Linked DNA regions of Cricetulus griseus. Each later gene encodes a partner of the first gene's protein in a complex. Links are inferred from orthologs where the notes say so. Each region holds a gene or a part of one and is shown in the gene's direction. Other genes may lie near its edges. The genes, in order: Arf1, Ap1b1 and IQ motif and SEC7 domain-containing protein 2.

The links.
Region 2: the proteins of Arf1 (region 1) and Ap1b1 are in contact, whole or in part, in a cryo-EM structure (PDB 7R4H), measured with the Homo sapiens proteins. The link is inferred for Cricetulus griseus from reciprocal best matches to the Homo sapiens genes ARF1 and AP1B1. Residues at the interface, in NP_001019397.1 of Homo sapiens: Glu17, Met18, Tyr35, Ile46, Thr48, Ile49, Gly50, Phe51, Asn52, Val53, Glu54, Thr64, Trp66, Lys73, Leu77, Arg79, His80, Tyr81, Gln83, Asn84; in NP_001118.3 of Homo sapiens: Asn23, Asp25, Pro52, Asp53, Val55, Asn56, Met58, Gln59, Met83, Ile85, Met86, Ala87, Val88, Asn89, Thr90, Val92, Lys93, Tyr121.
Region 3: the proteins of Arf1 (region 1) and IQ motif and SEC7 domain-containing protein 2 are in contact, whole or in part, in a crystal structure (PDB 6FAE), measured with the Homo sapiens proteins. The link is inferred for Cricetulus griseus from reciprocal best matches to the Homo sapiens genes ARF1 and IQSEC2. Residues at the interface, in NP_001019397.1 of Homo sapiens: Arg19, Gly24, Leu25, Asp26, Ala27, Lys30, Thr31, Ile46, Pro47, Thr48, Ile49, Gly50, Phe51, Asn52, Val53, Glu54, Thr55, Thr64, Trp66, Asp67, Val68, Gly69, Gly70, Gln71, Lys73, Ile74, Pro76, Leu77, Trp78, His80; in NP_001104595.1 of Homo sapiens: Arg810, Gln811, Gln841, Arg845, Val846, Gln847, Gly848, Glu849, Ala850, Gln851, Val853, Glu854, Glu858, Asp879, Phe882, Ile883, Phe886, Ala887, Ile889, Leu890, Asn892, Thr893, Asp894, Tyr896, Ser897, Pro898, Ser899, Val900, Arg904, Met906.

The regions. Positions count from the first base shown.
Region 1 is NC_048600.1:73,283,315-73,293,939, reverse strand, and holds the start of Arf1 (ADP-ribosylation factor 1), read left to right. Parts: upstream 1-5,202; 5' UTR 5,203-5,343; intron 5,344-9,011; exon of another isoform or gene 9,012-9,080; intron 9,081-10,625. UniProt on the Homo sapiens protein: Small GTPase involved in protein trafficking between different compartments. Modulates vesicle budding and uncoating within the Golgi complex. In its GTP-bound form, triggers the recruitment of coatomer proteins to the Golgi membrane.
Region 2 is NW_023276807.1:99,873,934-99,884,458, reverse strand, and holds part of Ap1b1 (AP-1 complex subunit beta-1), read left to right. Parts: intron 1-9; coding exon 10-255; intron 256-1,441; coding exon 1,442-1,632; intron 1,633-2,686; coding exon 2,687-2,908; intron 2,909-5,158; coding exon 5,159-5,279; intron 5,280-6,666; coding exon 6,667-6,762; intron 6,763-7,752; coding exon 7,753-7,868; intron 7,869-8,160; coding exon 8,161-8,326; intron 8,327-10,525. UniProt on the Homo sapiens protein: Subunit of clathrin-associated adaptor protein complex 1 that plays a role in protein sorting in the late-Golgi/trans-Golgi network (TGN) and/or endosomes.
Region 3 is NC_048604.1:107,284,988-107,295,475, reverse strand, and holds the end of IQ motif and SEC7 domain-containing protein 2, read left to right. Parts: intron 1-1,381; coding exon 1,382-1,481; intron 1,482-2,539; coding exon 2,540-2,701; intron 2,702-4,502; coding exon 4,503-4,676; intron 4,677-5,156; coding exon 5,157-5,206; intron 5,207-5,794; coding exon 5,795-6,760; 3' UTR 6,761-7,476; downstream 7,477-10,488. UniProt on the Homo sapiens protein: Is a guanine nucleotide exchange factor for the ARF GTP-binding proteins.

The DNA.
Region 1 (10,625 bases):
TTTTATTTTTCATTTTTGGTTTTTTCTCGACAGGGTTTCTTTGTGTAGCCCTGACTGGCCTGGAACTTGCTCTGTGGACCAGGCTGGCCTCAAACACAGAGATCCACCTGCCTCTGCCTCCTGAGTGCTGAGATTAAAAGCATGCACCTGGAGGGTCTGGAGAAGGATCTTAAAGAGAAAAACAAAGTCAGTTTCTCCTGTAGTCTCATATCATAGTCAGCATAGGAGACTTCTGGGGTTCCCAAAGGTGTGGTGACTATTGCTCACCAGAAAGCAGTTTGTTCTTTAGCAGTGGACACCAGCAGGATCTGCTAATTTAGGTCAGCCCTGGGGCTGTCTGCCTGGAGCTTTGGATGCCAAAGTTGGGGGATCAGTCTCTGAGATATCCCCACTTCAGTGTTGAAGTAGGCCCAGGGTGAATCTCTTTTTATTCTGATGTTCTGCAGTTGTAAACCAGCTCCCTTTATTCTTCTTTGGGCTGCACTCATCAAGAAGCTCACGGAACTTGTGTTGATTGATTTACCATGAGAATACTTAGCAAGGATACAGATGAAGACATATAAGAGGTCAGGTATGTGGCAGCGGTGGGGCTTCCATGTCCTCCTTAGGGTTTTATAGACATTTTATTACATGGGGTGATTGGTTAAACCACTGGCCATCAGTGATCCCCTCAATCTTCAGCCCTTCTTCCTTCTCTGGGAGCTGAGATGAGGCTAAGGGTCCCCATCCTCTGATCCAGCCTTGGTCTTAATATATATATATATATATATATATATATATATATATATATTAATGGAATACACCTCACTTCCAGATTCCCAGGATTTTAGGAACCGTATTTTAGAAAACAGAATTTTTTTCTCACTCTCCAAGCCTGAAGAAAGAAGTGGTATAAGCATTAGGGGAAAAGCTGGGTTTGGGGGCCCACACCTTTAATTCACTTGGGAGGCAGAGGCAGGTGGATCTCTGTGAGTTCAAAGCCAGCTAGATCTACATATCAAATTCTAGGATAGCCAGGGCTAAACAAAGAATCTCTCTCTCTCTCTCTCTCTCTCTCTCTCTCTCACACACACACACACACACACACACACACACACACACACACACACACACAAAGAATTAGGGAAGGGCACTGCTCTCCCTGTATTTCTCCCTCTGGGAAGTCATTAAGGGTGTAAAGTTCCTCTTGCAACCAGGTACTAGAGGTCCAGAGTTTTGATTGTATGAGCATGCTGAACATAAGACAAAATACCAAGTGGAGTCCAAATGAGACTTAATGCTATGCAGAATATCCCTAAAGACACTGTGAAGTTACTTTTTCAGCCAGTTAGCCTGCTCAGAGACGCCTGCTGGGAAGGGCTTTTGAGAGCTTGAGGGCAAGCAGAGTAGATCAGGAAATACTACAGGTGTACTCCAATCTGCCCAGTGTATAAAACTTCCCCAACAGGCTAGATTGCCTGGTACAGTGATGAGCTCCCTGGGAATCCTATGGTGGGAACCCATAGGAACCCTGGAGAACACTGTAGTCTGTAAAAGAACCAAAGTACCCGAGTCCTAAGAGGCCAAGTAAAGAGCCACATGCCTGGAAATAGTCAAACATGGAGATTAAACTCCTTATCAGTTGGCTCAGATATGTGCCAATTGTATGTGCGTGTGCGTGTGTGTGTCATACATACATACATGCATACATACATACATATGGAATAAGACTTCTACATTTCTAGGCATCAGTAGCCTGGCATGAATGCCACCCATCTTACATATAGAGGCTGCACAAACTGTCTGGGGGAATGGATGAGGTCCTCAAGGCACAGAGTTCCTTTTACCTCCCACTGGGTCTTGTCTCCTGGGGGCATTCCTGACTCTAGTCCTTACTCTAGGTAAGGTTATCTCTCTAGCAACCTGGAGAACAAGAAGCTAGGCCACTTGGCATCCATGCCTCTGACTAGGTCCTTGGGAGTAGGTTGGTCTAAAGGGAAGGGCCTGGACTTTGCTTTGGTGTATGATCAGCTAAAGGGGAGGTGAGGTGCCATAGGCACTCCTACCTTCCTAGTATACAGGTAGTTGAGGATTCTGAACACCTTTCAGTGAGCTCACTTCGCCCCCTCCTGGACAGAGCTTGTCCATGCAGGGACTTCAGAGAGGAAAAGGCACTCTGACCCGAAGCAACCTAGGTGGAGGAGTTAGCCTCAGTTTATCCAAGCAACTGACATTTCCTGGTAGGGTCTGTCCTCAGACATGCTCACTCAGGGCTCCCACAGATATGTATGCCCTTTCCGCCCCCCACCCCCATCCCCACCCACTGGGACAGGGACCAAAACAGAAGCACAGTGAAAGAAGGAAGTATGTTTCTTAACTTGGGAGTGGGCAGACAGCAATCTGTTGATCATTTTCAAAACTGTATCTTACATAAACCCCATCTTGTCTCTCCATTATTTCATTTTGCTAAATTCTATCCCCCCCATAAAGTTTCTTTGGATTTTTATTTCTTTAAAAATGATTTTGAAGATTTTATTTTTTAAAAAGTAAAGATTTTATTTAAAATGGTTTTGGTGATACATTGCTTATGATCTAATAAAGCAACTGGAGATCAAAATGCAAAGCTAGCCACAGCCAGAGAGCCAGGCAGTGGTGGTACACACCTTTAATCCCAGGACTAGAGAGACAGAGGCAGACAGATCTCTGTCTGTTCAAGGTTACACTGAGCTACATGAAATTGATTTAGTCTAAAAGAGAAAACAGCTCACACAAAGGTGATCTCAGCACTTGGGATCACACACCTTTAATCCCAGCACTAGGGATGTAGAGACAGGAGTGATGTGGCTGGGCAGAGAAAGGAATATAAGGCAGGAGGAGACAGGAACTCAAAGGATTTCAGTCTGAAGCTTGGTGGAGAGCAGTGCAGTCTGCGTTACACTCTGAGGATTCGTGGAGACAGGATCACCCATTTCAGTCCTAGGTAGAGTAAGAGCTAGTGGCTGGCTGCTTTTCTTTTCTGATCTTCAGCTTGAATCTCAATATCTGTAACTGGGTCTTTTATTATTCGTTTTACAATTTTTTAAAGGATTTATTTATTATGTGTACAGTGTTCCGCCTGCATGTATGCCTGCAGGCCAGAAGAGGGCACCAAATCTCATTACAGATGGTTGTGAGCCACCATGTGCTGGGAATTGAACTCAGGACCTTTGGAAGAGCAGGCAGTGCTCTTAACCACTGAGCTATCTCTCCAGACCCCCTGTGTTACAATTTTTAAAAGATACTTTTTAATTGTATGTGTGTGTAAGTGCAGATGATTGTGGAGGTCAGAAGCATCAGATCCCCCAGAAATGGAGTTATAGGCAGTTGGGAGTTGGGAAAGGAACTTGGGTACTTTGTGAGAGAAGTATGTCCTCTTAAGGGCTGAGCCATCTCTTCAGCTCAGTTGTCCAATTCCCTTTTTAATATACACTTCGGGATGGAGAGATGGTTCTGTGCATAAGACTATTTGATGCTCTTGTAGAGGCCTTGAGTTTGGTTCCCAGAATACAAATGGCAACTCATAAACACCTGTAACTCCAGTTTGGATTTATTTATTTTATTTATGTATGTGAGTGCCTACAAATATGTATGTATACCACAAGAGTGCCTGTTGCCTAAGGATGCCAGAAGAGGGAGTCAGATCCACTGGAACTGGATATATGATTCAACACTCAAAGTTTATGTGCAATATGAAAATTTCACTGGAGGTTTAAACCCGACCTGGGGAGGTGGGAAGAACCTATCATCCATTGAACATTATTAAGTATCCATAATGGCTATTTAAGTTTTTAATGGACACAAATAATTATTTACAGGGTATAGTGAGTTTTGGGGCATGAATGTACAGTTGCCAGGTTAGGATAAATGGATGGACTACCACCCTATCTATTTTGCCACAATTTTATCTTTTTAGGAACAGAAAGGGTTTGTTCTTGATTAGTAATCTGTAGTTTTCCTTGACACTCTGTATCTTTGTCTTCTCATCTATAAAGTGGCTGTGACAGGCTTCTTATATGGCTGGGATCACAGGCCTCTGGGTATGTCCTGCCATTTTTCCAGGGAATGAAGAGCTAGCACCACCCAAGGCTTTGCATGAATACTTGCTGTGTGTTGAGGGTGGGAGATCAGGCAGTTATCTCCATAGAAACTTACAGAAGTGGTACTTAAAAACCGGAGGTCTAAAGCCAGGCGGTAGTGGTGGCACACGCCTTTAGTCCCCACACTTGGGAGGCAGAGGCAGGTGGATCTTTAAGTTCAAGGCCAGGCAGGGGTATGCAGAGAAACCGCATCAAGAAGGTGACCATTTCCTAGAACCCTGACAAGTTTAGCACCCACAACTCTTAAGAGAAAGCTCTGGAGGTCTCAACCCCCCAAACAACAGCGAGGATGCCTGGACACAGTGTGATTGATTAATCTAGGCCCATGTAACAGAAGTGCCTCCTGCCAATTCAACAGATAGGGCTCCAGGTTTTTTTTTTTTTTTTTTTTTTAAATGCCCTAGGTCCCTCAACATCTCTTGCCTGTGGGATTCCTCACAATAAATGAGGTGGAAGAACTGGACAGGCCTGACAGAGCGTGGGTCTGATTCCTGCATAGATGGGGAGGCAAGCAGATTTCTGCTGCTTCTGACCAGGCAGGGAAGGCTTCTCAGGGAGATGTAACAGGTTCCTCCTCTCCTGCACCCTTCAGGAGGCCACCCCATCAGGGGCAACCTAGAGTACCCTCTCAGGCGGTGCTAACTCCACACAAGTCTTTGGGTCAGCTCTGAGAGTGCACACAGGGCCAAGGCTAGCGTAGGGGCACGGTACCTATCTGACACTTGGTCTGCGCCTCTTTCCGCTCTGGCTACTTGTCAGTGATATCATTATCTTCAGTGCCCAGGGCCAGCTGGAATATACCTCTGAGAGGAACATCACACCCCCTCAGTGCTGACACGACCTTCCCACTCTGACCTTGGCGCTCTAGAACGCTTACTGTCCTCAACCCCCGCATCCGAGGAATGGGCAGGAATTCCGCAGGAAGGCGCGCGTGCGCACGCGTCGATGGACACGGAAATCCACCCACCACACCCTTGTGCGTTCTAGTCCGGGGAAACCGGTGTGTGCTAGCCCGGGGCCGCGATCCGGAAGCAGAGCGACTTTGGCCCCGCCCCGTGAAGGCTACTTGGTGCAGACGCGCAAGCGCCATTCATCTAGGGGCGGGGCCTCAGGCGTGCCCGCCCTCTTCCCCCGGCGTGCCCCGCGGCAGGCGCTGACGTGGCTGCCGTCAGCGCCGCCATCTTGTGGGAGCGAAACCAACGCCTGGCTGGGAGCAGCCGCCGCGGAGGTGAGGCGCTGGGCGCGTTGGGGCTGAAGCTGGGGAGGCCACGGGCTGGTCATCGTGGGCGTCGAGGGGCGCTCGGTTCAAGCTTCTAAGGGCCGAGTCTGGTCGGGCGGGCCGGGATCTCTGTCTAGCGGACCTGACGGCAGGCCGGGCAGTGGATCGGGGCTCCCCCAGTCCCGCGTCGCCCACGGCCGCTTGGCCCTCCCCCACTCCGCGGCCCATACGCCTGGCCGCCAGCCGCGGGCCGCAGCCCGGAAGTCCGGCCGGGACGCCGGCTCCATTCCAGGAAGCCAGGTTTCCTGCTGTTCCTCTCTGCGCCTCTCCTAGGTTCCACGGCCCGGGAGCTCGGGAACGGGGAGCAGGGCTCGAGGGGTACGGGGGGGGGTCTCCCTTCTAGAAGGGCTAGCCGGAAGCTTCAGATACGGCACGGACCTTGGGGTAGGGGAAACTGAGGCTTGGGTGGCCCTCAGACGGCGTCAAGGTCACTCGGGTGGCGAGGTCTTCCTCCTCTGTGTCTCGAGTCCGGTTCCTGTCGGCCCGGAGGACCGGAGCTGTAGGAGGTGAAGGGCTGGGACCGGTGGAGCGGGGCTCCGGACTGCTGAACCGGGTGCTTGGATTTAACAAGCGCATATGCGGATTTCAGTGGATCCCAAGTGCCCACTCTGATCCCTAGTGAGCCGTGATTTGTGCCCCACACTTTTCTGGTGAGATCTTCATTGAGGTTTGCACTCAAGGGCCCGGTGGCCTCTGCAGGAGTTGAGCCTTGTTTTACCTCTTGACTGACCCCCTTGATGCTCCTTTGGGTGGATTAGAAAGGCCCTTCTGAGTTGGGGAATCTTTAACCTGGCCGTGGAACAACCTGCTCCCAGGTTCTGAGCAATCTGCTTGTAACAAGAGGCCAGATCCAGTGTACAGTTCTGGCTGTCCAGTCAGGGTGGCCATGCCGTGTCGGACTGTATGTAGCTGAACCGTTGCATGGTACCTAAGTGGGAGGGATTCTCCCTTCCAGCAAGTGGCTGTTTTGCTGGAAAAGAAAGGGGCAGCTGCTCCTGTTCCCAGAAGGCACCAGAGAGCCCAGTAGTTGATGCCACAACCAATGTTGGAGTAGTCCGTTGTAGTTCTTGTTTCACAACTAGTGGTCAGCAGTTTTTCCTGCAGGCTGAGTCTGCAGTGAGTGTAGAACAGAAGACTAGTGAGATGCCATGGTGCTTTGGGTGCTGACTCCATGTCCTTTCTCTGTCTTAACCAGTGTCTACAGTACCTGACATGGGTGACTGCCTGTAATGTCCTCACCTTTGAGCTTTCAGCAGCACTGTCTCACATAGCCTGGACTGTGAGATTTGATGAAGAGTGTTACTCTCTGACTTCTCTGTTTTCTCCAGAGTTGTGAGCTGTGTGGTGTAAGGGCCAGTCACAGATTTGTGAGCTACATTGTTGTAACTACATTGTCTCCTTGGCATGAAGGTTTCTCTTGATGGAATGTCTATCGCTTTCATCCCTAGGTATCTTGTTGAAAATGAGTCTGACTCACTGGTTCACCACACTGTTGTCTTGCTTGTGAGGCAGATGTAGAGTTGCTACTTCAGAAAGGTTTAAGAGCTAGGGGTAGAGTGCTTTTCCTAGCTTGTATAAATGGTTTGGCTCTCTAGCACTGCACACACAAGGTTTAACTGTGAATAACAGCTGACTCATACTCAGTCTACTTATCCTGGAAGGAAGGTAGCAATAGCTAGTTCTGTGCCCCTCATTTACAGTTATAAGTCATGTAGCTGAGATGTCCACTATACCTCTTGAACAGTAATTCCTTGTAGAGAGGATCTTTGTTCCATTTTGGTTGTTGCCTCAGCCCAGGACCAGGCAGGATTCAAACTACAACCTTTTATTTATTTTTTTCTTTTTTTAAGGTAAAGGTAACTTAGACCAGCAGTTACTGTGGTGACGACCCAGTGTCAGGCAACCTAACCAAGAGAAAAAACTTGTTGTGCAGGTTCATGCAATAGCTTGTCAACAATGGTTTGAGAGTATTGGGTCAATGTTTTTCAGATTCCTTGAATTAAGTGTTACATTAATGTGCAGGGTTTTTTTATTTTGAGACAAGGTTTCTCTGTGTAGCCCTGGCTGTCTTGGAACTCTCTCTCTCTGTAGACCAGGCTGGCCTCAAACTCTGAGATCTGCTTGCCTCTGCCTCCCTAGTGCTAGGATTAAAGGCCTAAGCCATCACTGCTCAGCTTGATGTACAGGTTTAAATCTACTGTTAATCACAAGGGCTGTCTATGTGTGTCATTTGCACTGAGGAGCCCAACAGACCCCTGCCTGCTCTAGTTTGCTATGTCATTCATGGTCTGTCTGTCTGTCCATCCCTATTTTCTCTCATGAATCCCTTTGACTTTTGATCTTCATGAAATTGTCAGTGATGGTGAGGAGAGAAACATGAAAATTCCTTTTGTGTGTATGCTGTATCTCCCCTGTCTCTCTGTCTCTCTGTCTCTCTCTCTCTCTCTCTCTCTCTCTCTCTCTCTCTCTCTCTGTGTGTGTGTGTTTGTGTGTGTGTGTGTGTACACATATACACGCATTGGGATTTCTCACTACACACTGAGGTTTATGTTCAATATTGATTGTGATACAGATTGCAGGTAATAGCTTGTGGTGTTACTTGTTAGTGTAGGACCTTTTAGGTGTTCACCACCCTGTCCTACTACATATACAAAGAAGTGATGATACTAATTAGGGCCCATCTTCCACAATATTCTTATCTGGTCCTGTTCCCTGAAATTTTTACTCACATTGGTAACAGGGCTTGGCTGCCTGTCAGTAGCCAATATACTAGGAAGAGTGGCACTCCCTGCAGGCCCTGATATAGGGAACGTTTTCAGTAGTAAGAGGAATTGATAGAAAATAGGAACATAGGCTGTTTATGGGGAAGAGTTTGACTGTGTAGTTTGTAGTACAGGTTTGCCCTAAACTCCTGCCCCAGCCTCTAGAGATTACAGCCTGCTGGGATTACAGGTGTGTGCCCCCATGCTAGGCAGGCATATTTTTATAGACAGCAGTTGGGGGTGATTAAGTTTATGTGGTAAACAGCTCCCCATATTTCTGAGGATCTGAGAATTACTGCAGTATAGCATGAGTGAGACTTGGTTATTAAGGAAACTTTCTTAATCAGTATCTATAGAGGTAAGTATACATGTTAAAGGGATGCTAGCAAACTAGTTCTTTCCAACAGGCTCCTTGTGCTTGATGGCTGTATGTTAAACAATAACTTTTTGTCAGTATCAGTTGTCAAAATATTTTTGCAATGGCTTATACTGAAACAGGGAAGTTTGTGGCCCAGATTCTCTATGTGTCCTCTGACAAGTTTTTCTTTCTTTCTTCCTCTCCACCCCCTTTTTAAAATTCTGTTGGTATGATTTAGGTGCTTGTTTCCAAGAAAAGGGTTGAAAAGGGTTTCTAGATTTTAGTGAGAGTCATTGCTGAAGAATGAGAATGAAGGCAGAGCTAGATGGCCTGCAGTGTGTGTTCCTCTGGAGCTTCCTGTTCTGTAGATAAGAATGCTCTTCTTTCTTGTTTGATTCCAGGAGCTTATATTTAAAATACTCTGTCTTCTAATGACTTTGGTGGTAAACTTCTGCTTGGCATTATTTTCAACTTTTAACATTTCTGTTCTGTTAAAGGTCATATCAGACTTTGGACATACCGAAGTGATCAACTGAACTGTGTGCTTAGAGCTAGCAGTTCTTGAGGTAGGTTTGACGCACACCTGAGTATCTAGATGTTACTGGTGTAGGAATGTTAACACAGAAGCACACTTGTGCATAGTTTAAAAATAATGCAACATTGCTTGTTGGCCCTGTAGTTTCCCTGAAGGGATTAGCTTCTCTAGGTGTGTGATTTTTTTTTTTTTAATTTTTAAAAAAATCCCAGTGGCCTTGATAAACCTTTTTTTTTTTTTTTTCCCAGTGCTTGTGAGGAAGAGGCAGGTGGATCTCTGAGTTTGAGGCCAACCTGGTCTACAGAGTGAGTTCCAGGATGGCCAGGACTATTTCATAGAGAAACCCAATCTCAAAAACAAAACAAAACACTTCTATTTCTTCTGATAAGGAGTCACCTGTGAGGGGCCTAGTGGAGGAGGCGGCCTTACTTAGCATTGGATGAAAAGCTATTTGCCCATGTATGCTATTGGAGTGTTCATCCCAACCATCCTAGAGTGACATGGGCAGGTACTGGGGCCTATCCAAGGAGGCAGAACTGTCACCTCACAGGTGACGTTTATGCAGAAATAAGATAAAGATTGGCAAGTTTGAGGGAGAAACCAGAGGCTTCTTAGTAGCCCAGGACAATTGATGCAAGGGCTCCGAGCTGAGTAAGTGTACTGGAGTTTGGAAACCAGCCAGGAGCAGTGAGAGAGAGGAGGACTAAAGAGAGGGTGGTCCTGGTCCCTGGTGCAGCTTTGTAGTCCTCAGAAAGGATATTTTGAAATCTGTGGGAAGGAACCCTTTGCTTCTCAGGTAAGGAGGCAAGTCTCTGGCACTTAGCCACTTGTGTGGTTTTCATGTAGATGGAAAATCCCTCTGTGATAGCCTAAGTTTGATCACAGAAAGATAATGCTTTTCTTTGGCATAATAGTAACAGATGTTCCAAGTCTTCCAGGAACCCAGCTTTAACTACCTTGTAAGGCAAGGGCAGTGCATTTTGTTTTCTTCAGTGCCTTACAAAAAGTTGTTCTCTGTTTTCAGGAAAAAGGTTATTTCTCTGCGGTGGCATGCCCTTGAGATTGCTGTGGTTGTCATTTAGTGCCTCAGTAGCTTCCCACCTCCCTTTGTCCTATATATGGGGGTGGCTGGGCCTAGCATTAAAGCATAGTTTCACTAGAAGTTACTTCCCATTGTGTCTCTGTGATGTCATTGTTGAGGCAGACTCATGGGGATCTTCAGTCTTGTGCAAATGTCAGGTTATCTATTGGCTTCTTTTCCAGATGGCTGACTTAGTGGACTGAAGGGTGTGGTGGGCACCACAAAGTCCCATGGCTACTGTGTGTGACGGTCCTGACATCACAGGTGTTACTTTGCACCTGATTAATTCAGTTGTTGTGGAGTAGTTGGGGGTGGTAGCAGTAAGTCTTCATGGTTTGAGTCTGAAGAACTGGGTGGGAATTTGGGAAAGAGGGAGATTTTGGTGGAATACCTGGCTATGGAAACGTGGCGGATCCTTACCCTGAAATTGTTAGAGAACGCCCCCGGTGCTGGTTTGCCTGAGGGGAGGCCTCTGACAACAAAGTTGAGGCATCA
Region 2 (10,525 bases), on another chromosome or scaffold:
CCCCCTTAGGACTGTGAGGACCCCAACCCCCTCATCCGGGCCCTGGCTGTAAGGACCATGGGCTGCATTCGAGTTGACAAGATCACAGAGTACTTGTGTGAACCACTCCGAAAGTGCCTGAAGGATGAAGATCCATATGTGCGCAAGACAGCGGCTGTGTGTGTAGCCAAGCTCCATGACATCAATGCCCAGCTGGTAGAAGACCAGGGTTTCCTGGATACACTTAAAGACCTCATCTCTGACTCTAACCCCATGGTAAGTGCTAACAGCCCTTGGGATGCCCACAGACTTCTGGGTTCCTTGGGAAGAACACCTGGCATGATTCCCACCTGGCTTTCCTTTTCTTAGAAATTAGGTCCTTGAGGAATATCTAGTACCTGTTCCTTGCAGTGGCTTGCAGGGAGCTGGGCCTGGATTTCTTTTGGCCCTCTCAAACTATCTACATGGCTTCAGGAAAGCTGCCTAATCTTGGGATCCCTGTTTGTCTCATTAGACTGTGGGAAGGTGACATACCTGATCTAGCTGGCCTGACCTGGCAAGCAGTGACTCTGCAGTTAGTGCTAGTGTCCTTCCCTTTCTAATCGCTGTCACTGTTACTAGCTCCTAACCAAGACCTGTAATTCCCGAACACATAGCTCTCTTCTAGTAGAGTTGCAGAGATGTCACCTTACAATACTATAGTGTGGAAGACAGGACACCAGGACTCGGTGGGAACCCGAATCCCCTCACTCACTGTGATGACAAGACTTTGCAGTGTAGTTTGTCAGGGCCTGTAACCCCAGCAATCAGTAGGCTGAAGCAGAAGGACTAAGAGGTAAAGGCCACCCTCTGCTATATAATGAGATCCTTCCTAAAAATTTAACACTATGAAAGAAAAAAATGAAATATTCAAAACATTGGGCACAGCCCCTCTCTGTACCCAAACAAAACACTGATTGCTCTTAAAGACTGATTACTATAACACTGTGTCATAGAGGAAAGTTGAAAACATTATAGATTGTACATAAAAGGAGCTGTCTTGGTGGAAACATTATTTGGTAAACCCCTCTATAGTCTAGACCCATCCACTCTCAGCAGCCTTGAAGAGATCTGCAGGATTCTTCTGTCTCTGAGAAGCACAGGTGACAACCACTGCAATGAGCGGCTCTAGCCAGTAGAGGGAGGTTGGACTGGTACTGGGCATTGCCTTCCATTGCTAGGTGCCTGGAGCTGGGTCTTTCTTTCCCTTCTTTCCAATGACAGGTGTACTTATTTTAGTTCTGCTTTACAGAGGAGTCAGTGGGGTGAGTGTTGTAAGTCAGACATTTTTCAGACTCTAAAACCTACCAGTAGGGTCATATTCTTTATCGAGTGTCCCATCTTGACCTACTAGTGTCATTAGCCCCTGTGCTCCCTAACTTGAGCAGTCCCTCCAGCCTCTACCCCTTCCACTCTCAACCAGGTGGTGGCAAATGCAGTGGCTGCCCTCTCAGAGATTGCGGAGTCTCACCCCAGTAGCAACCTGCTTGACTTGAACCCACAGTCCATCAACAAGCTGCTGACAGCCCTTAATGAATGCACTGAGTGGGGCCAGATCTTCATTCTGGACTGTCTGGCCAACTACATGCCCAAGGATGACCGTGAGGCACAGAGGTGAGCATACAAACCCCTTGCTTACCAGCCTGGTTGGATATGGTCCTCATGACCTCTCTGAGCTGGGCCTCAGGCCTGAATGGGCCTCCTTCCAAGACCTTTCTTCTGTCATCAGACATACTTTAAGGGAGCCAGCCGGCTTCTCATCTCCTGAACCATGCTGTCAGTTGTATGGGGTCTGGCCAGGAACTGACAAGGATCCATCTGGGCTGAATGAAGAGCTTTATAGCTTCAGAACCACTGAGTTCTCTAGGTATCTGACCTCTGCTGGGTGCCTTCCATGTTATGTAATGTTTATAGCAGATCTTTGAAATGTATCCCATCATTATTAGCCATCTTACAGACAAGGAGACTGAATTAGAGAGGTGCAAGGAATTGCGTAGTTCACCCAGCTGGGACTGTCTTGACCAACATGAAAGAATTTGACAGTAGAAGGGAAAGAGCTTACATTTAGAGATATTTACTATGTTCCAGGCTCTGTATTCACTGTTTTCACTTAGGTGTCCAACAAACCTGTGGAGTAGACACCGTTACACCAACTCTGAGATGAGGAAAGTGAGGCTCACTGTGTTCTAGGCCTGCTAGAATCAGTAGGCAGCAGACCAGAAGGCCTTCCTCCTATAGAAAACATCCTGTTTTACCTGGAGATAGTTCAGTTGGTGGAGTGATTACTAAGCATACATGAAGCCCTGGGTTCTAGCCCCAGCCCCACATAAACCAGACATGGTGGTGTGTGCATGTAATCTCAGCACTTGGAAGGTGGAGGCAAGAGGATCAGACATGTTAAGACCAGTGGGAAAGCACTTGTCTCACATATATGAGACCCTAGGTTCAGTGTAAGTCCTGGAAGAAAAAGAAAAAGTGGGGGTGGAGCAACCCTTTTCTTGGGCAGTTCATTGGCTACATAGTGAGTTTAAGGCCCACATGGGTTATATGAGGCCCTGTCTCAAAAAGAAAAAGAAAAAAAAAAAAAAAGACATGCTATTTTGATAAGTGAACCAGGACTTTTCCCTTGTCTATCTCTCTTTGCACTACTGCAATGGCTGGACCCCAGCATCTGTGAAAGGGTCACTCCTAGGCTCTCCCATGCCAACTCTGCTGTGGTGCTGTCTGCTGTGAAGGTGTTAATGAAGTTCATGGAGATGTTGTCCAAGGACCTGGACTACTATGGCACACTGCTCAAGAAGCTAGCACCTCCTCTGGTCACACTGCTGTCAGCAGAGCCAGAGCTGCAGTATGTGGCTCTGCGCAACATCAACCTCATCGTGCAGAAAAGGTACAGAGACTGCCATTACATGTTTGCTACATGCTAGAGACAGGGACCTTCAAGGGAAACTGATCTGTCACCAGGCAGGAAGTCTAAAGAGTACTGCAGGGCTCTCAACCAGAGAACTTTACCCCCCAGGGGACACTTATAAGAAACTACCTGGCCTAGGTCAGGGTGTCAATGTTACAAAGCCCTGACTCAGACTTAGAGAAAGCGAATAAGTAAAGGCAAGCATGGTGCTGCTTCGCCCAGACATTTAGTGGCTCAGAGTCTGTAGAGTCCTTCGGGATATCTGAAGATTTTATATGTGTGCAGTTTGCTTGGGGACAAAGTTCATAGGTATCATCAAAATCCTTGAATTTGGAGACCCTAGAGATGGTGAGAAGTCATGGATTTGGCATCAGCCTCAAAGCCTGAAGGGAGAAGTAGAACAGAATGCTGGGCAACCTGCTTCCTTCCTCCAAGGATGACTCCAATAAGTCAGTCACTGTGCCCAAGGAAGGGGTCTGGTGCTTGATGGGTAAGGTCTGAAACTCCATAAGCAGCAGTGGGTCTGCAGTGTCTCTGGAATGGCCTTCTCCTTCCTCTAAGGCAGGGTTCCTGCAGTGTGGTGAGATCCACCTCCCAAACTCTCCTTCCAGCCTCTCTGCACTCAGGGCTTAGCAATGGCAACTCATTTTTACTGTCTGCTGCTAGGAACCAGGACCACAGTAAACAGGGCCCCTTGTGGTCATGCCTTAGGAAATTAGCATACTTTCTTTGTTACAGGAGCAATCTGGTTCTTAATGTCTCTTAGATGGACAGAGATACTTACTGAGCTGGGACATTTATGAAGACTTGGAGAGTAAACATGGGTAAAGTGTTCTAAGTCTCTGAGTAACGTGATATGACTAGGGCTTTGCTGTTACAGTGTGGGTCTCTATATACCAGTGTCCTCGGATCACTGCATTTATTAGAATACAGGAACAAGACCAGCCTGAAGGGTTCTGTGTGCTATATTTAACACAATCTCTTAAGAAGTTGTCTATGTCACCTAGTCATGACGTGGACCAGCCTGACGTGATTGGGCAGCCTTTGTAAAGTCTCAATTGTAGAAGTCATCTTCCTACTACTCATCTCAGAGTCTTTTCTCCCCCATAGAGCACCACAAAAGCTCCTTACTCAGCCAGGCTCTCCACAGTTTGTATGGCAACACAGACCCTTGAACTCCTCTTTCCTCTGTCCCCATCACAGAGCTTCATCCCTGGCTGTAACTTTGTTTTACAATTATTAGTTTCTATCCTGGGAAGGACATAGAAGTAGGAACCAGGATGGTACCTCTTACCTTGTTCTCAACTTTTTAGTTTGTGACAAATGCAAGCTTTGTAACCTCTCAATATTCCCTTGTCTTAGAAAAATGTGTCCCGTGGTACCATTTGAGGGCAGCAGGCAGCAAGGGAGGAGCAGTAGATACACTTAGATAGCTCAGCAGGTGACAGTTCCTATTGGCAAGTGCCTTCATATAGCAGGCATTGATCATGCTAGATGCTTCCATCTCCCACAGTTGACCTATTGTGCAGGAGTCTGTTTGTGTTCAGAGATTGGCTAGCATTTCCCAGTAGTCATTTGTGTTCCTTATCTGAGATTTAGTAGAGTGACCTACATAAGGGAGAGTATAGAAGAATCCATGAAAGGCTTTCTCTTGAGCTTTCCTCTATTGGAAGGTCAGCAGAGAACAGCAACAAGTGTGGAATGTTTCCTCCCAAGGAGCCAAATTGAGACAGGGCACCTAGGGGCAATAGGGCAATAGGGGCACACTATTTCAGGACTGCAGAAGGAAAGCAGGGTTTAAGCATAAACTGTATTGTTTATAAATGGTCTAGGCATAGCCAGCCGTCTTTATCTTTGAATGAACAGGATGAATGTTCCGAGAGTTTGAGTTCATACACACCAGATTCAGGCCTGGGTTAGTAATTATTCCTGCGCAATTCATTCTCATTTCATGAGTAAGGAAACAAGGGTTGAGGTCACACATTGGGATTAGAACCCTGGCCTGCTGCCTACTATCCATGTAAATTACTTTTCCTTCCTGAGATGTGACCCAGCAAGCTGTAGCCAGGAAGAACCACTACCTATGGCCACACAGTCATGATTATTGTTCTGCCTCCCTGGACATCAAGCTTCACCTATAGCCCAGGAATTCCCCAGCAGATGTGGAATGACGACTCATGGGTCTTATGGCTTCTTTTTTATTCTCTGGGCATCTTGCCCCACCACCAGGCCAGAAATCTTGAAGCATGAAATGAAAGTTTTCTTTGTGAAGTACAATGACCCCATCTACGTGAAGCTGGAGAAACTGGACATTATGATCCGCCTGGCCTCCCAGGCCAACATCGCCCAGGCAAGCAGAGTATGGTGGTGTGGGGCACAAGCTTTGGTGTCAGACAACTTCCTAGGTGTGTCTAGGTCAGCATGCTCACTGTGACATTCTATCTCATGGAGAGTTGTGGATGATAGAGCTCTGTAAGCAAGCAAAAACAACTAATGTCTGTATTAATAAAGAATATTCTCAAGCTGTCCACAAAGGTACACTCCTGAAGTCCCAGATACTTGGGTGGCTGAAGCAGGAGAATCACTTGTCATAAGATCAAAACTACCTTGGACAACATAAATAGACTCCCTATACATACTCAAAAAATTCTCCTTATTCTCTCTATTATTATCTATCATTTATTCACTAAAAAATGGTAGTTGGTCACCTAGGGATATGGTACAATTGGTAAAGCACTTACTAGGGGCAGTCATGAAGACCTGAAATTAATATCCAGAACCTATGTTTAAAAATCTGTGTGTGGGAACTGAAGAGATGGCTGGCTCCATAGTTAAGAGCACTTACTACTTTTTCAAAAGACATGGGTTTAGTTCTCAGCACCCACAGAGGGTCTCACAACCACCTGTAACACCAGTTTCAAGGTATCTGATACCTTCTTCTATCCTCTGTGGCACCTACCCCCTCCCTACACACATACCCCACCCCCCATATCACTGGTTCTCTCTCTCTGTCTCTGTCTCTGTCTCTGTCTCTCTCTCTCTCTCTCTCTCTCTCTCTCTCTCTCTCTGTGTGTGTGTGTGTGTGTGTGTGTGTGTGTGTGTGTGTGTGTGTCTGCCCCCCCCTCTCTGCCTCGGTCTCTCTCCCCATCCCCTACACACACAGTCTGGTGTAGTGCACTGGAGAAGTGGAGACAAGCAGATCCCTGGGGCTGACTAGCCAGCCAGCCAGCCTAGCCTCACTGGCAAACCCCAGGCCAGTTAGAGACCCTATCTCAAAACAAAAATAACAACAAAAGTAGATTGATCCTGGGAAATGACACCCAAGGATGTCCTGGCTTCCACATGTGGAGACATGTGTATAAGCGTACCTCCTTATGTCTGCCTCCCCACCGCCTCCGCCCCCCACAAAAAAAGCAGTAGCTGAGGCTGAAAAATGTAGTTTGGGGGTAGAATATCTACTTAGCATCCCCAACACCACACACACAAAATGAGGTTCTTGGATATAGTAGCTGTCAGTGTAAAGCAAGGTTTGTTGAACCTTGCTACATAGTCATCCTCTACCTTCCTTTTGAATTCTCTTCCTTTTGAGGAGCCTGATGACACGCTCCCCTGAGCCGTCCATTGTGAGCAGACAACAGAGTCCCGTCCCTTTGGGAGTTCATGCATTTCTGTTACCCAAGTATTCTAACAGATTGTTCCATCGGATATCTCCAATCCATTTTCTGTTTGGATCACAGGTATTGGCGGAACTCAAAGAGTATGCTACAGAAGTAGATGTGGATTTTGTACGGAAGGCAGTGCGTGCCATCGGTCGCTGTGCCATCAAGGTGGAGGTGAATAGGTTCTGGGATTCCATTCCTAGCCAGGGAGGGAGAAGGTTGTTGAAAACAGAAAGCCAGTCTGATCCTAGAAGCTGTTTATGGTTCAGGAAGTCCAAGGGTCACCAACAGGGCCTCCAAGGTACCCACTACACAGAATTACATTGGCTCTTTTTCACTTCAGGCTCTTGAGTTGTAACAGGTGAAATGATGCCCCTGTAATGATGGTTCTTAATGATGGTTCTCCTACAGCATTATCTAAGGCCACAGGACAGCCACCAGCTCATGGAGTTCCTGTTAGACTTACCACAGAGATCTGCGGCAGGACCTCTGCCTGATAGATACTTCAGAAGATACCTTGATTGAGCTACTGGGCTGCTTCTTCTGACCTACTAAATCACTCTAAACCCAGTGCCCTGACATTTCATTCTCTCCACTCTGCCTGGGGAGCTATTCCTTGACATTGACCTGTACACAGTGGGTCTGCTGGTGGCTTAAGGACCCTGGGATAGCTGGTCATACCCACTCAGGACCCTGAAAACAGCATCTTAAGCTGTTTTCCCCTTGATTTTTATTATTGCTCTCCTGAGACATCTGCCCCTTCGGGCTATTATATAGTATGTAGAAATAAAAGCAAAAGACTAGGTACAGAAACTTTGTAGGTCTAGCCATTGCAGCCAATTTTATGAAACAAGCCAGAGAGATGGGGCCAAATAGGGTCACTCAGCCCTTTGCCTGGAGGAACTCCCAATGACCTCACACTTTCAAGAGCTACACCTCTGGCTGTCTTGTGTTCTCATTCTATCTGTGTGTCCTTTTCATCCAGGGCCCTCATTTGGCCCTTGTCCTCTGCCTCCCCATTGTCAAGGGAAAGAGATCTGTTTTCATGCTATAATAAAGAAGGTGGGCAATGGGTCTGAAGCTGCTTGACTGCAGCAGGATCATTAGCCCAATTGGAAACTGTGTGCAGAGACCTTGCCTACACTGCCTCTTCTTCCCACACAGCAATCTGCAGAGCGCTGTGTGAGCACATTGCTTGATCTCATCCAGACCAAGGTCAACTATGTAGTCCAGGAAGCCATTGTGGTCATTAAGGACATCTTCCGCAAGTACCCCAACAAGTAGGTGCCCACCCCGCATGGGAAGAGAGCAGCTCGGCTTCCTCTTCCTCCTTTCCCTTTCTTCCCATTTCATAGCTTTCTCAGAAGAAACTTTTTGTCTTTTTTGTTCTTTTACCCAAGCTGGCCCTCCAGGCCAAAATAAGATCAGCTAAACTCCAGCTAAACACCCCCTGTCTTCACCATCTCTCCGGGTCTGGGCAGCTGCCTATCTGACTTGGCCCTTAACCCTCCACCACACACATTGGCCAAAATTCCTTGGTGCTTACCTGCTGGCTCAATCCTGCTTTCCTAGGTATGAGAGCGTGATAGCCACACTGTGTGAGAACCTAGACTCCCTGGATGAGCCTGAGGCCCGGGCTGCTATGATCTGGATAGTGGGCGAGTATGCTGAGCGGATTGACAATGCAGATGAGCTGCTGGAGAGCTTCCTTGAAGGTTTTCATGATGAGAGCACCCAGGTGAGCCTTCATGTGAGCACACCCATCACTGATTGCCTAGCCCAATTCTGGCCTGTTCCACCCCTATATCCTTCCTTCCTCCCTCCGATTGCATTGCCACTGTGTATAGACATTAATTGACAGGCTCTGTGTGGCCCCTTTTTCTCCCCCACAGCAGTGCCTCAGAAGACATAGGACAGTCTGTGGTGTGTGTGGAAGTTGGTCAGAAGTTTCTGGCTTTGTTTTGATTTCATATTTATCTTTTGGTAGTACATTGACATGGTTCCAAATAGAAATACTCCTGGGACTATATAATGAAAATTCTTCCTCTAACTGCTTTCAAAGTGGCCATAGTTCTCCCAGTTACTAGCATACTTAAGTTTCTTGGTCATTAGAGATTATAGGAATGGTCCACTAGATGTTCATGCAGACATTTGAGCCAGTTCTATTGTTCTTGGCATTTGTGTTTTATAACCACCACATTTCCTGAATAAGTACTGAGCTAGCACTTCCAGGAGAGGGGAAAAGTTAGATCTATGACATCTAGACACATTTTTATCAGTTGGTCAACATGTAACCTTTACCGTTGATTCATTAGCATTGAACTCAGTGGCCAACAACACTGACTTATGCCTGACTGATTTATCTAGCATGTATATTTCTCCACAGAGAACATTTCTAGAGCCTTCTAGACAAGCACTATAACACTATACTTGGGAGCCATTTTAAATGAGAAGAAGGATACATTTTTTACAGAATGAGAGCTGAAATGAAGGGTAGAATCAGCCTTGCCTTGTCCCAGCCTCAGCTTGGAAGTATTCATCAGCTGATTTAGGTTTCCATTGCTCAGCCTTTATCTACAGATGACCACTTAAGCCCTGTGAATATTGATTTTCAGGGGCAACAAGTGGCAGATTTACAAACATGGAAGCAGGGTGTGACGGTGTACACATGTAATCCCAGCATTTGTGAGGCAATTTTATCGGGTGTTGGTGGTCATCCTTGGCTATATAAAGACTTTGAATCCAGCCTGGGCTACATGAGACCTTGTCAATAAAAACAAGGCTGGTGAAATGGCTCAATGGGTAAAGGCACCTGCCACCAAGCCTAACAGCTTGAGTTCAGTCATAGGAACCATCTGGTCGTAGGAGAGAACCAACTCCTGCAAGTTGTCCTCTATCTTCCACCATGTCTCAATGGCATACATACCTCGCACACACATGAATAAATAGTAAACAGTTGTAATAAAAATACGCCAAGTGTTTAAAAAGCATGGTATTACAAATGAAGAGAAGTGGTGTGTGTCTGTGTCTGTGTCTGTTTCCTTCTCACTTAAATGCTATAGTAGTCCACTATGCAACTTCAGATTGCTTAGAACCTTGCCTTCTCCCCTTAGGGTAATTCTGAAGGCATGTCTTTGTTAATGTATGCTTTATTATTTAAGTCCATTGGACGTTTGTGTGTCTAGTCTGTTCTTGTGAGCGGGCTGCTGTGGCTAGGTGACATGGCGTAGAATTGTGAATATTTCAGGGAGGAAGCCTTACGCAGATAGCTTGGAAAGAAGGGATTGTGCCCTTGAAATCTGGGTAACTCTTGCCTGATTTCATTTGGTAGAATGGTTGTCTTTATTTGACCTCCCATCTCAGATGGTACTGTCCTGCCTCTTGTACTTGATTTGAACAGCTCAGAAGGTAATGGGTATAGTTTTGTCTGCATCTCTTTATTGTTGTTCCTTTTGCTGTGAATTAGGAAATGTCTTCTGCCCAGTGCCAGCAGTGTAACCTAGTGAGTCCAAACATGGGCCATGGAATCATAAACCCCAGAGCCCATACCTCTCATCTGCCTCACCCTTGCTTAATAATTTTATGCTCATCGTTAACATATTTCTAGTCCATAGTAAGTACTCATCAGTGATAGTATTGACCTGGGTCAGAATTAGATTTAAAAGTGAAGTGGCCCAGGAAAAAGCAGGGCCTGCTAGTTCCCGTAGCTGACACTTCTAAACAGCACACTCCCTCCCCATACTCTTGCCTTGGAGTGTTAGGGCTATCTCTGCCACCCTAAGTGGCTTCTGCCTTGGTCACATTCCCATGAGCAGGAACTACAATTAGGCAACAGTTTAGACTCTGTCCTTATAGTTTAACTACTACCATGGACAAAGAGAACTTCTACCTCAGCAGTTCAACAAAAGTCCCAAGATCTGTGTTTTGTGGAGCCATT
Region 3 (10,488 bases), on another chromosome or scaffold:
GAGGGGTGGGAGAGGGAGAGAGCATCTTCAGGGAAGAAAAGGTGGAGGGAACAAAAGAAAGCAATATCTTTTCTGGCCATTGTGCTGTATCCTGTGGCAGCTGGGGTCAAAATCCTCTCCAGTTGAAAATCACCACTTGAAACAAAATGCCTCAACATCCTCTCCAAACTTCAGTTGCTTGCTTCATGAAATAGTGTTAGCTAGCCCTTATCTCCTAGAGCTGTCAAGAAAAAGAACTAAAAAGTCAGTGCCCAACAATACGGTTCTGGTTCTGTAGTAGTTCCTTAGCATATGCAAGAATCTGGGTTCCATTCCCAGCACTACAAAAGGGGGAAGAGATAGTCACACCTTAAATCAGATGTGCCTGGCCCACACAGGTGCCCTAGTAGATACCCTTCATTTACTGACACCCCTCTGTGTGAAGCTCTATGTTAGCTACTGAGTGAGTACATGGAGATAAACGAGACTTAGTCCTTGTTCTCAGGGACTCACAACCCAAAGGACCTAAAATATGTTTTGCAACATGGTGATACAGCCCTGTAATGTAAGCATTTGGGAGGGGGAGGCAAAAGGAACATGAAGCTAAGGTCAGACTGGGCTTCAAGATGGAGACCTTATCTCAACCACCAAACCAAGAAGTGTTTGACACCATTGTGCACTGTAGCCAATGTAAAATCAAACATTTATTTTAAGAGTCATTTGTAGGTGGGACGGGGGAGGGGGGGGTCTCAAAAAACAAACAAACAAAAAGAGTCATTTGTAGAGGATGAGCTGTAGTTTAGCAATAGAGTACTTGTCTGGCCCCAGGGTTTCATCCCCATCATACAAAATAAATGAAATAAAATAGCTACTTGCAGATTGTCCGAGCTTATGTTAGTGTAGAATCCAGAATGCCTAAATACTTGATAAAGACTTTGGGTTGGTGACAGGTTGTTAATCCTGTTTGAAGGCTAGGCAGAAGTTGCTGTAGCTCTGAATGGTGGAGGTGAGAGAACCTGTGGGACAGCAGGGGGCCATCATGTATTCACAACTACTATAGAGTCTAACAAGGGAAAAGGTATAGAACCGGCACCCTGGAAGCTCAGAAGATAGGAACAGAAGTCTATGTGAGGTATTAGGACAGGCTTCCTGGAGGGCCAGGCATTCGTTTAGTTCCTTTAAAAGTCACATGCCTGTGTATGCTCATGATGTCACAAGCTTGCATTTTCTCCACCTCTCCGTTCCTCAAGTTTCAGTTCTCCCTTGTGGGTATACGTGTTCATGTGTATATATCTGTTACTGGAAATAGGTGGGGAAGGTGGTTACTAGAAATGGGTACCACTTGGAAATTCCCCACCCTAAACCCTGCCTCTTATCTTTTTCCCACCCTTCTTTGCCAAAGGTCACCAAAATTTTCCAGAAGAAGAAGATCTTGGTGACATACAGCTTCCGACAGTCCTTTCCCCTGGTGGAAATGCACATGCAGCTCTTCCAGAATTCATGTGAGTCCCCTCTTGAACCCTAGCATGTGTCCCAGGGTGTATCAGAGCCCATGCGCATCCTTCATCTACACTAGCTTCTAGCCTTTCAAGTCCTCTACAATTGGGTTAAAGTCTCCAAAGTATCTTCTTGTCCAAGGATGAAAGGAAGACTAGAATGGAGTATGATTTGGGTGTGGTTTCTGGAGAACATGGAACAGCAATGTTTGATGTGTTCCTTAGTGAGCAGATGTGGCAGTCACACTGTGCTTTGAAGTACTGAACTGAGAAGAGCATGATTGGATATCATTCAAGAGAGCAGAGTCATTGTGTGAGGCAGAGGTACAAAGGGAAAGGTTTCTAGAAAGCAGTTCAGAATTCTGTTTGCTTTTACACCCTGCAGTCTGGGATAAGGTTGCCAGGGCTACCAGGAGTCTGAGGCAAAGGGAAACCACTGAAGATGCTTGATCACAAAAGAGGCATTTCAGAGTTGGATGTTACTGGAATGATTTCCAAAGTGGACAGGGTGATGTGTAGGACAGTATTTGAGAGGCAGAGACAGAAAAGTTACTTGATCCCAGGAATTTGAGACTAGCCAAATAGGATGACTCTGTCTCAGAGATGCTTGGCAGCAATGGGGAGTGGGTTGTATCATTTCTCAGTTTCTTGTCTTAGCCACTTTGCTTCAAACCTGACAGAAATACCCAGCTTCTGGACACTTTGCATGTGGGTGACAGTTGTATATCTTGGTCTGTTTGTGGGGTTCCTGGCAGTGGGACCAGGATCTATCCCTGATGCATGAGCTGGCTTTTTGGAGCTCATTCCCAATGGTGGAATGCCATACTCAGCCTTGATGCACATGGGAGGGGCTTGATCCTGCCTCAACTTAATGTGCCACGCTTTATTGACCCCCCATGGGAGGCCTTACCTTTTCTGAGGAGTAGATTGGGGGTGGGTTGGGGGTAGAGGGGGGAAGTAGGAGGGGAGAGGGGAACTGTGGTTGGTATGTAAAATAAGAAAATAAATAAAAGTAATTAAAAGAAAGAAATACCCAGCTTTTCTGTCTGCTCTCATTGCTGCAGATTATCAGTTTGGGATCAAGCTATTGTCTGCGGTACCTGGAGGGGAACGAAAAGTCCTCATCATCTTCAATGCTCCTAGCCTCCAAGACAGGCTGCGCTTTACCTCTGACCTGCGGGAGTCTATTGCTGAAGTGCAGGAGATGGAGAAGTACCGTGTGGAATGTGAGTAGCTACAGTCATGTAGCTACTCCTGTCATGATACAATGTTCCACAGACACCAAAAATCCTATATTCTGAGTTAAGGGCCAGCTTGCCCAACCTTCCTACCCCTCATTCTAGGAACCCTTCAGCTTCTAGGAGCCCATTGCTTCCTAACCCCAGATGATTCCAGTCATTGTGAGTCTATGCTGTGGCCTCCACAGCCACCCTCTAATCATGAGCCAACTCTTCCTTCTGTTGCATGGTATCAAGGAGAAGACTCAGGGCATAGGAGATAGGACTGTAGCTTCATACTTCATGTTTGCTATTTGTTATCTGGGCAAACTTGGGTGAGTTCCATGGCCCTCTGAACCCTTTGTTCAGATGAAACCGGGATAAAGAAATCTTCATGGAGTTTGACAAGGAGCCAGACACAGTGGTTGCACACCTGTAATCTCAGTACTGGGGAGGCTGGGGCAGGAAGATTTGAAGTTCCCAGACCAGCCGTGGCTATGTAGTGAGTCTCTCACAAAGAGAGGGGAGGAAGAGAAAAAGGAAGAGGAGAGGAGAAGTTGAAGATGAAGGAAAGGAAGAGAGAAGAGACCAGTGCATCCATGGTGTCCAATAATACCATTCACTATCTCCTCTCCTCAGTATCAGCTCCTGAGCTGAGGTCCAGCTCAATAACCAGGGCCTACGCCAAGTGTTTTCGATCATAGACGATGGAAAATAGTGATTTTTATCTCATTCTTCCTGATGCCCTCCAGGTTTTCTCTTTTCTAAGCTAAGCAGTCACAGTTAAGTAACATGGCATCGAGGAGGAAGAAGGCAGAGAGAAACAGAAGCAGTAGTCAGTTCCTTAATAGGTCTTCAGGAAGGCGCATTATCAGTTTAGTAGAGTCCTGGAACCCCTGGGGGAATAGAAGGCAGGAGATCAGCCATATAAAGATAAGGAGAGGCCCACTAGACCAGTTTTCCTGACCTCATTGGAGGTATGGGGGCCAGGAGAGCAGGATAGACCTGCTTGTAGAATGTTTGCTTTACCGATTTCAACTGTCCTACCGTGAGCAGACTCTGACTTGTCAAGTTCTCAGGTTCTTTTTCTGCAATGTAGATGATGCTCATAATGTGGAATGAGAGGGATCAAGTGTGTGCTGTCCCCAGCATCCTGTCTGGCACATAATAGAGGGTTTGATTCCCATCAGTTTCCTGCCCTTGCTGTTCCAAGAGCTCCTCTGCTATGAAGCAAGGCATCTGAAAACTGAGTGAACTTTGAAAGGACTGTCTTTCTCCATAGGCTAGAAGGGCCTTCCCATCCTTACTGTGAGCCATCTGTTGTAAAGCTCTTGTTTAAAGGGCAGGGGTGAGCCTGGCATTGGTGGCGCACGCCTTTAATCCCAGCACTCGAGAGGCAGAGGCAGGTGGATCTTTGTGAGTTTGAGGCCAGCCTTGTCTATAAAGTGAGTTCCAGGGCAGTCTGCAAAGCTACACAGAGAAACCCTATCTCAAAATAAATAAATAAGTGGCAGGAGTGATTAGGGAGGCCTGTCTACAATAGGGTAAAGAAAAGGGAGCAGGAAGTGTAGGCACCTATACTTTCAGGGAGGAAAGAAAAAGAAGGGTTAGGTGGCATAGGGTGAGCTAGGCACCTAAGGAGCTTTGAAGATAGAATTGCAGTTTGGGGGGGTACTAATAGAGGGGTGGGAGTGGGGCAGGAAGCTTGGGGAGCAGAAGGAGGGAGGAAAAGTGAGGAAGGCTGTTAGTCTATCAGGTGGGTTCTTAGTGTTATTCCTGATCTTTCCCCATTTTCTCCACTGCTACCCAGCGGAGCTGGAGAAGCAGAAAGGTATGATGCGGCCTAATGCCTCACAGCCTGGAGGAGCCAAGGACTCAGTGAATGGGACTCTGGCCCGCAGTAGTCTGGAGGACACTTATGGGGCAGGCGATGGGCTCAAGCGGGGTGCACTCAGTAGTTCCCTGCGAGACCTCTCTGATGCAGGTAAGTGCTCTGGGCCCCTGCCCTGACTGGGGAGATGCGGGACCAGGTGTCCTTTTTGCCTCCTGTCACTGGCTGTTAGCCTTCCTCCATCACACACACACACACACACACACACACACACACACACACACCCTTCCTTCAGAGCCCTGGGCACTATGTCACAGGGGGCCTGGTAGCCAGGTCAGAACAGGTGGGGCCCAGGGTTTCTGCCAGGGAGTATAAAGTGGGGCCACAGACTCAGCCCCTCTCCTCTTTTCCCTCTTCTGTCTCTCCTTTACTGCCTCTCCTCCATATTTTCCTCCTCTCTTTCCTCCTTCTCAACCTCTCCTCCTCCCTACCTCCCCCTCTTCAATGGGGGAGAGGGGTAAAGGGGTGTTTGTCCCTGGGAGGGACCTAGGCCTGGTGCCCAGCTCTGGAGCCCAGCAGGGTGGGGAGGGAGGGTTGCTGCTCTGACGCTGGGCTCCTTGCTTGTGGGTGCAGGGAAGCGGGGGCGGCGTAACAGCGTGGGATCGCTGGACAGCACCATCGAAGTAAGTGTCCGCTCCTGCCCCACTCATTTTCTGCATGAGCCCCGCCCTGGCCATGGAGCCCCAGAGGAGGAGGGGACCTGTTGCCTACCCCTCTTCCGTGCTGGGAACCATATGGCTGACTCTCCCAGCCAACCACTTTCTCCATCTGTCCTCAACTCTGTCTGTCCTCACTCTGCCTGTCTCTCAGTCTGTCTTCCACTCTCCCATGCCCCTTCTTAACCCCAGGGCCAACTCCAAATAGGGATGCCCTTGGACTTGGGCCTCAAGAAACGTTAACCTCCAAATCCTGCTCTTTGACCCTGAGCGAGTTACTCTGCCTTTCTAGGCCTAACATTTTCTTGGCCTGAGAAATGGTCATGAGAAGGAGGTCCTACTGATTCTTCCTCTGCCCTCTGAGGTTCAACTGAGGTAGTGGATGTGGCAACAGAGCTGGGGAGCAGAGCTGGCCACAAATACAGGACTGCTGTTTGGTTTTTGCTGTTACTTTGGGAATCCCTGTTGTTCCAGCTTCAGGGACAGGGGTGGAGTTTAGGGTTGGGGGTTTAGGATATTTAGACTGGCCTGACTTCCCCCCCTCCCCCCTTTCAGGGGTCTGTTATTAGCAGTCCACGCCCTCACCAGAGGATGCCACCTCCGCCCCCACCCCCGCCGCCAGAGGAGTACAAGAGCCAGAGGCCAGTCTCGAACTCCTCATCTTTCCTGGGCTCCCTATTTGGAAGCAAGAGAGGCAAAGGGCCCTTCCAGATGCCACCACCGCCAACAGGCCAGGCCTCTGCCTCGTCTTCATCTGCTTCCTCCACCCACCACCACCATCACCACCACCACCATGGTCACAGCCATGGTGGCATGGGGGTGCTACCTGATGGGCAGTCCAAGCTCCAGGCCCTGCATGCCCAGTATTGCCAAGGACCGGGCCCTGCCCCACCACCCTACCTCCCACCCCAGCAACCCCCTCTGCCTCCACCCCCTCAGCAGCCTCCACCCTTGCCCCAGCTGGGCTCCATTCCACCACCACCTGCCTCAGCCCCACCTGTGGGGCCACATCGACACTTCCATGCCCATGGCCCAGTTCCAGGACCCCAGCATTATACCTTGGGCCGGCCAGGGAGAGCCCCAAGACGAGGGACTGGAGGACACCCTCAGTTTGCTCCACATGGCCGCCATCCCTTGCACCAGCCCACATCCCCATTACCCCTGTACAGTCCTGCTCCACAGCACCCTCCTGCCCATAAACAGGGCCCCAAGCACTTCATCTTCAGTCACCACCCACAGATGATGCCAGCAGCAGGTGCAGCTGGGGGCCCTGGCTCCCGGCCACCAGGGGGATCCTACTCCCACCCTCACCACCCCCAGTCACCACTGTCACCACACTCACCCATCCCACCTCACCCCTCCTACCCACCCCTGCCCCCACCCTCACCTCACACCCCACATTCACCCCTACCACCCACCTCCCCCCATGGCCCACTGCACGCCTCTGGGCCCCCTGGCACGGCTAATCCACCCAGTGCAAACCCCAAGGCCAAGCCAAGCCGGATCAGCACTGTGGTCTGAGGAATGGGATGAGTGTCCTGGGGAACAGGATAGTCTGGGGAAATCCACGGGAGAGGGACTTTGCCCCCTCTCTTCTTCCTCAGTTTTTTCTAAATATATATACACTCAGCAGTGTCCTTTTTTCCACTTCCTCCACACCTCCAGACCCTTCTTTCAACCCCTGGCAGTTGTCATGGGGTTTCCTTCTGGATCGGAGGGCCCTTGCCACTTGCAGCCTGTACTTAGGGCACTACAGTGCTGGGAAGTGGTAAGGGCCTCTCCGCAGTCCTTGTCCTCCGTTTCCTGTCTTCCTCTTCTCTTTCTTGTCCCTGGAGGTCTAGTGGGTGGCCTCAGACCTCTGGGCAAATGTGAGCTTCCTTGCAAGCTGGTGGAGAAGGCAGGCTTCTGGAGCTGTGGGGGTGAAGGCTTCCCTGGAGCTCCTCTGGCTGTGTGGGGCTAGGAGAGAGCTCTGTAGAGCTGTGGCCAAACCTCAGGGCCTAGCCACACACCTCCATGTGTCTTTCTGCCTGCTGGAGGACACAGACTTCCGTGCACTCTGTGGGTGGAACCCTGCTTGTGCTGGCCCCTCACTGAGGGCACTGCTTCCTCTCTTGAGCCAGTCTGTGTGTGCCCTCTCTCCTAATAAGCCCCAGCCCAGACCTCTTTGGCTTCAGGAACTTGCCTTGCCCTCTGCAATGTTCTTATCCTGATCAAAGTCTTTTTTTTTTTTTTTTTTTTTGGAGGTGGCGGGGGGCTCAGGTCTGGGATGAGAAGGGTACTACCCTCCCTCACCCATATTGCATGCCCCCCATTCCTTCTACTTTCCCCACCTACATCTGAAGACAATGCACTTTACAGATATCACCCACACATATCACACTGGGGCAGGGCACCCAGCATCAGCCCTGGGGAAAGACTCCCAGAGGATCACCCTGAGCCCAAGATGTCCTTCCTGAGGCAGAGATCGAAGCCATCAGAGCTGGGGCTGCGAGCCAGAATGCCCAAGCCCCTCTTGTTCATCAAAATCTCCACTGCCTCGCCAGTCCTTTCACAGCCCTGTTTATTTATTATAAATATATTTTTTACAAGTCCCAACTCCTCTTCTTGCCCTATACATCCAGCTCCTTTCACAGTCCCTGCCTTCTTCTCCCTTGTCCAGTATGGGCTGCAGTACAGACAGACAGAAGGACCCTCTATGTCAAAGGGTCCCCGGGGCTTGGGGTTGTGGGAGGGTGTTGGTGGGAGGGACTGTGTGGAGAGGAGCGGGGGTCCAGGCATTGTCTTTTTCCCTCCTTGTATATAAGAATGTATATTTGATGCCTCATAAAAGACCTTGTGCTCACCTCTGGCCTCTGCCTCCTACTTATGCCCCCTTCACTGTGGAGCCCATGGAGAGAGAGGCACTCGTCTGGGGAGGTGATGTGTTAATGGTAATTCAGACAACTGGGTGGGCAAGATGCTTTGCTTGGGTAGGAGTGTAGATGAGGGTGGATTTCCTGTCTCATTTCTTATGTCCTCTGCATGACAGTGGCAGGAGTGTGGGCCTTTGTGTTGATCCAGTACATACCCTGAGGGTTTCACTGAGGCACAAGACTTTCAAGGAATGACTCTCCCAAGTCTTAGTCACTTCACTTTACCACCTGGGATGACCGCATATTGTTATGCTATCGAACTTGGAGGTCACAACCTCTGCCCTAAGTCAGTTTCTTAATTGGCTTGTTGACAAGCAAATTAAAAGAGCCAAATTAAAAGTTGAAAGCAGAATGAATAAGAGATTGATTCAATGTGACCATATTGGAAGACAAATAAAGGGGTCTAGAAAACCCCCAAGTCAGTCTTCAGGGTCCTGAAGGTAGGTCCAAGTTTTAAAAAAAGGGCCAAGGATAGGCACATGGAAGTAGTTGAGGTCAAGGTGTGGTCCAAGCCACCATTGGCCCTTCTTTCTATGGGCTTCAGTCTCATCCTATAAAATGGTTAGAACTGGGTAAAATCTCTTTCCTGGAGACAAATTCTCCTTCTGGCATGAGATTCCTGGGGAATTTCCCTTTCTTTGGAGCCCATTGTTTCAATAATCTGATAGATTGAGAGGCACAAATGTCTCTGTAAAATATTCAGGCTGGGGAGAAGGCTCAGAGATTAAGAGCATTTCTTGGCCCAGAGAGTAGTGGCACACACCCTTAATCCCAGCACTTGGGAGTCAGAGGCAGGCGGATCTCTGGGAGTTTGAGGCCAACCTGGTCCTGAATTTCAGGACAGCCAGGACTGTTATACAGAGAAATTCTGTCTGGAAAAACCAAAAACCGAAACAAAGAAACAAACAAAAACCCAGAACACTTCCTGTTCTTGCAAAGGACTGGAGTTTGATTCCCAGAACCCAAATGATGGCTCACAACTATTTATAACTCCACAACTCTGGGGGATCCAACATACTCACTTGCATATAACTCACATATGGATACACACATACATATAATTGAAAATAAAAATAAATATTTAAAAAAAGAATATCTTCATTTTTTGCCAGTCTAGTTACAGCTACATGGAATTGTGCTAACTGCATGAAGTAATCAATACCAAGCAGCTAGGATGGAGTAGGTATTCAGCAAGTTAGTTGTCTTCTCTGTAGAGGGTGGCTATGTGAAAGTGTGTGGCCTCTGTTCTCACTCTTCCTGTGACTGGCCTGGTTTTGCCTTGAAATCCCTGCTACTGACTCTCCATGCAATGGCTGGCCATATTTTTGTTTTTGAGACCAGGGAGGTGATGAGCTAGGAAGGCTCAAGTCTAAATACTTTATTTGAGCTCTGTGTATATACTTAGAATACTAAATAACAAATAGCTGTCTTTCATTTACAGAGGAGACAGAACAGACAGCAAGTTAGGATGGGGCTTCTTTCTTTCTTTCTTTTTTGGGGGGGTGTTTTTGAGACAGGGTTTCTCTGTGTAGTTTTGGAGGCTGTCGTGGAACTTGCTCTGTAGACCTGGCTGTCTTCGAACTCACAGAGACCCTCCTGCCTCTGCCTCCTGAGTGCTGGGATTAAAGGCATGAGCCACCAACACCTGGCAAGATGAGTTTTCTTTACTTGTTGCCCAAACCCATTTCCACTGCCCCAAGCTGTGTCCCTGTAAAATGGACCCATTTCTAGCATCAGTAGTTATGCCTTGGGTCTCAGCCTAACATGGGACAGATGGAGCAGAGTAATGGCTCTTAGATTCAGCAGGGTCCCCAGACAACATTCAGTTGGCAGTTTTGCTGCTTTCCTAGGATCTGCAATGGTGGGATGGTTTAGAGGACCCTACCCTTCTTGGATCAGTGCTTTTGTTTTCTTCCTGGTAAAGCATGCTGAAAGGCCACCCAAAGAAGATAACTAGAGCAGCAGCTAGAGCCATGTAAGTGTTTGGTGCCTCCTGGTGGATCCGACCTGAGTGTTTGAAGAGCCCAGATGTGGGGTCCACACAGCATGTTTTGGTTTCTTCCTTGGTGGGCTATGCTAGGCTCTCCTTGGTCTCTCCCAATTTTTCTACCTTCAGCTAGTGACTGGCTGTATCTTGGTAATGGTTAGCCTTTAGCACTCAGATACTGACCCATGCTTCTTCGGCAATTCACCTGACCCCTGAGAGCCTGGTTTTTGACCTCTAGAATGGAAACAAAAAGTTTTTCAGGACAATTGCTAGCTGATACATTGTTAGCTGATACATTGTTAGCTGATAACATGTGAAATGCCTACCTCCTGCCACACTTACAGTCAGCT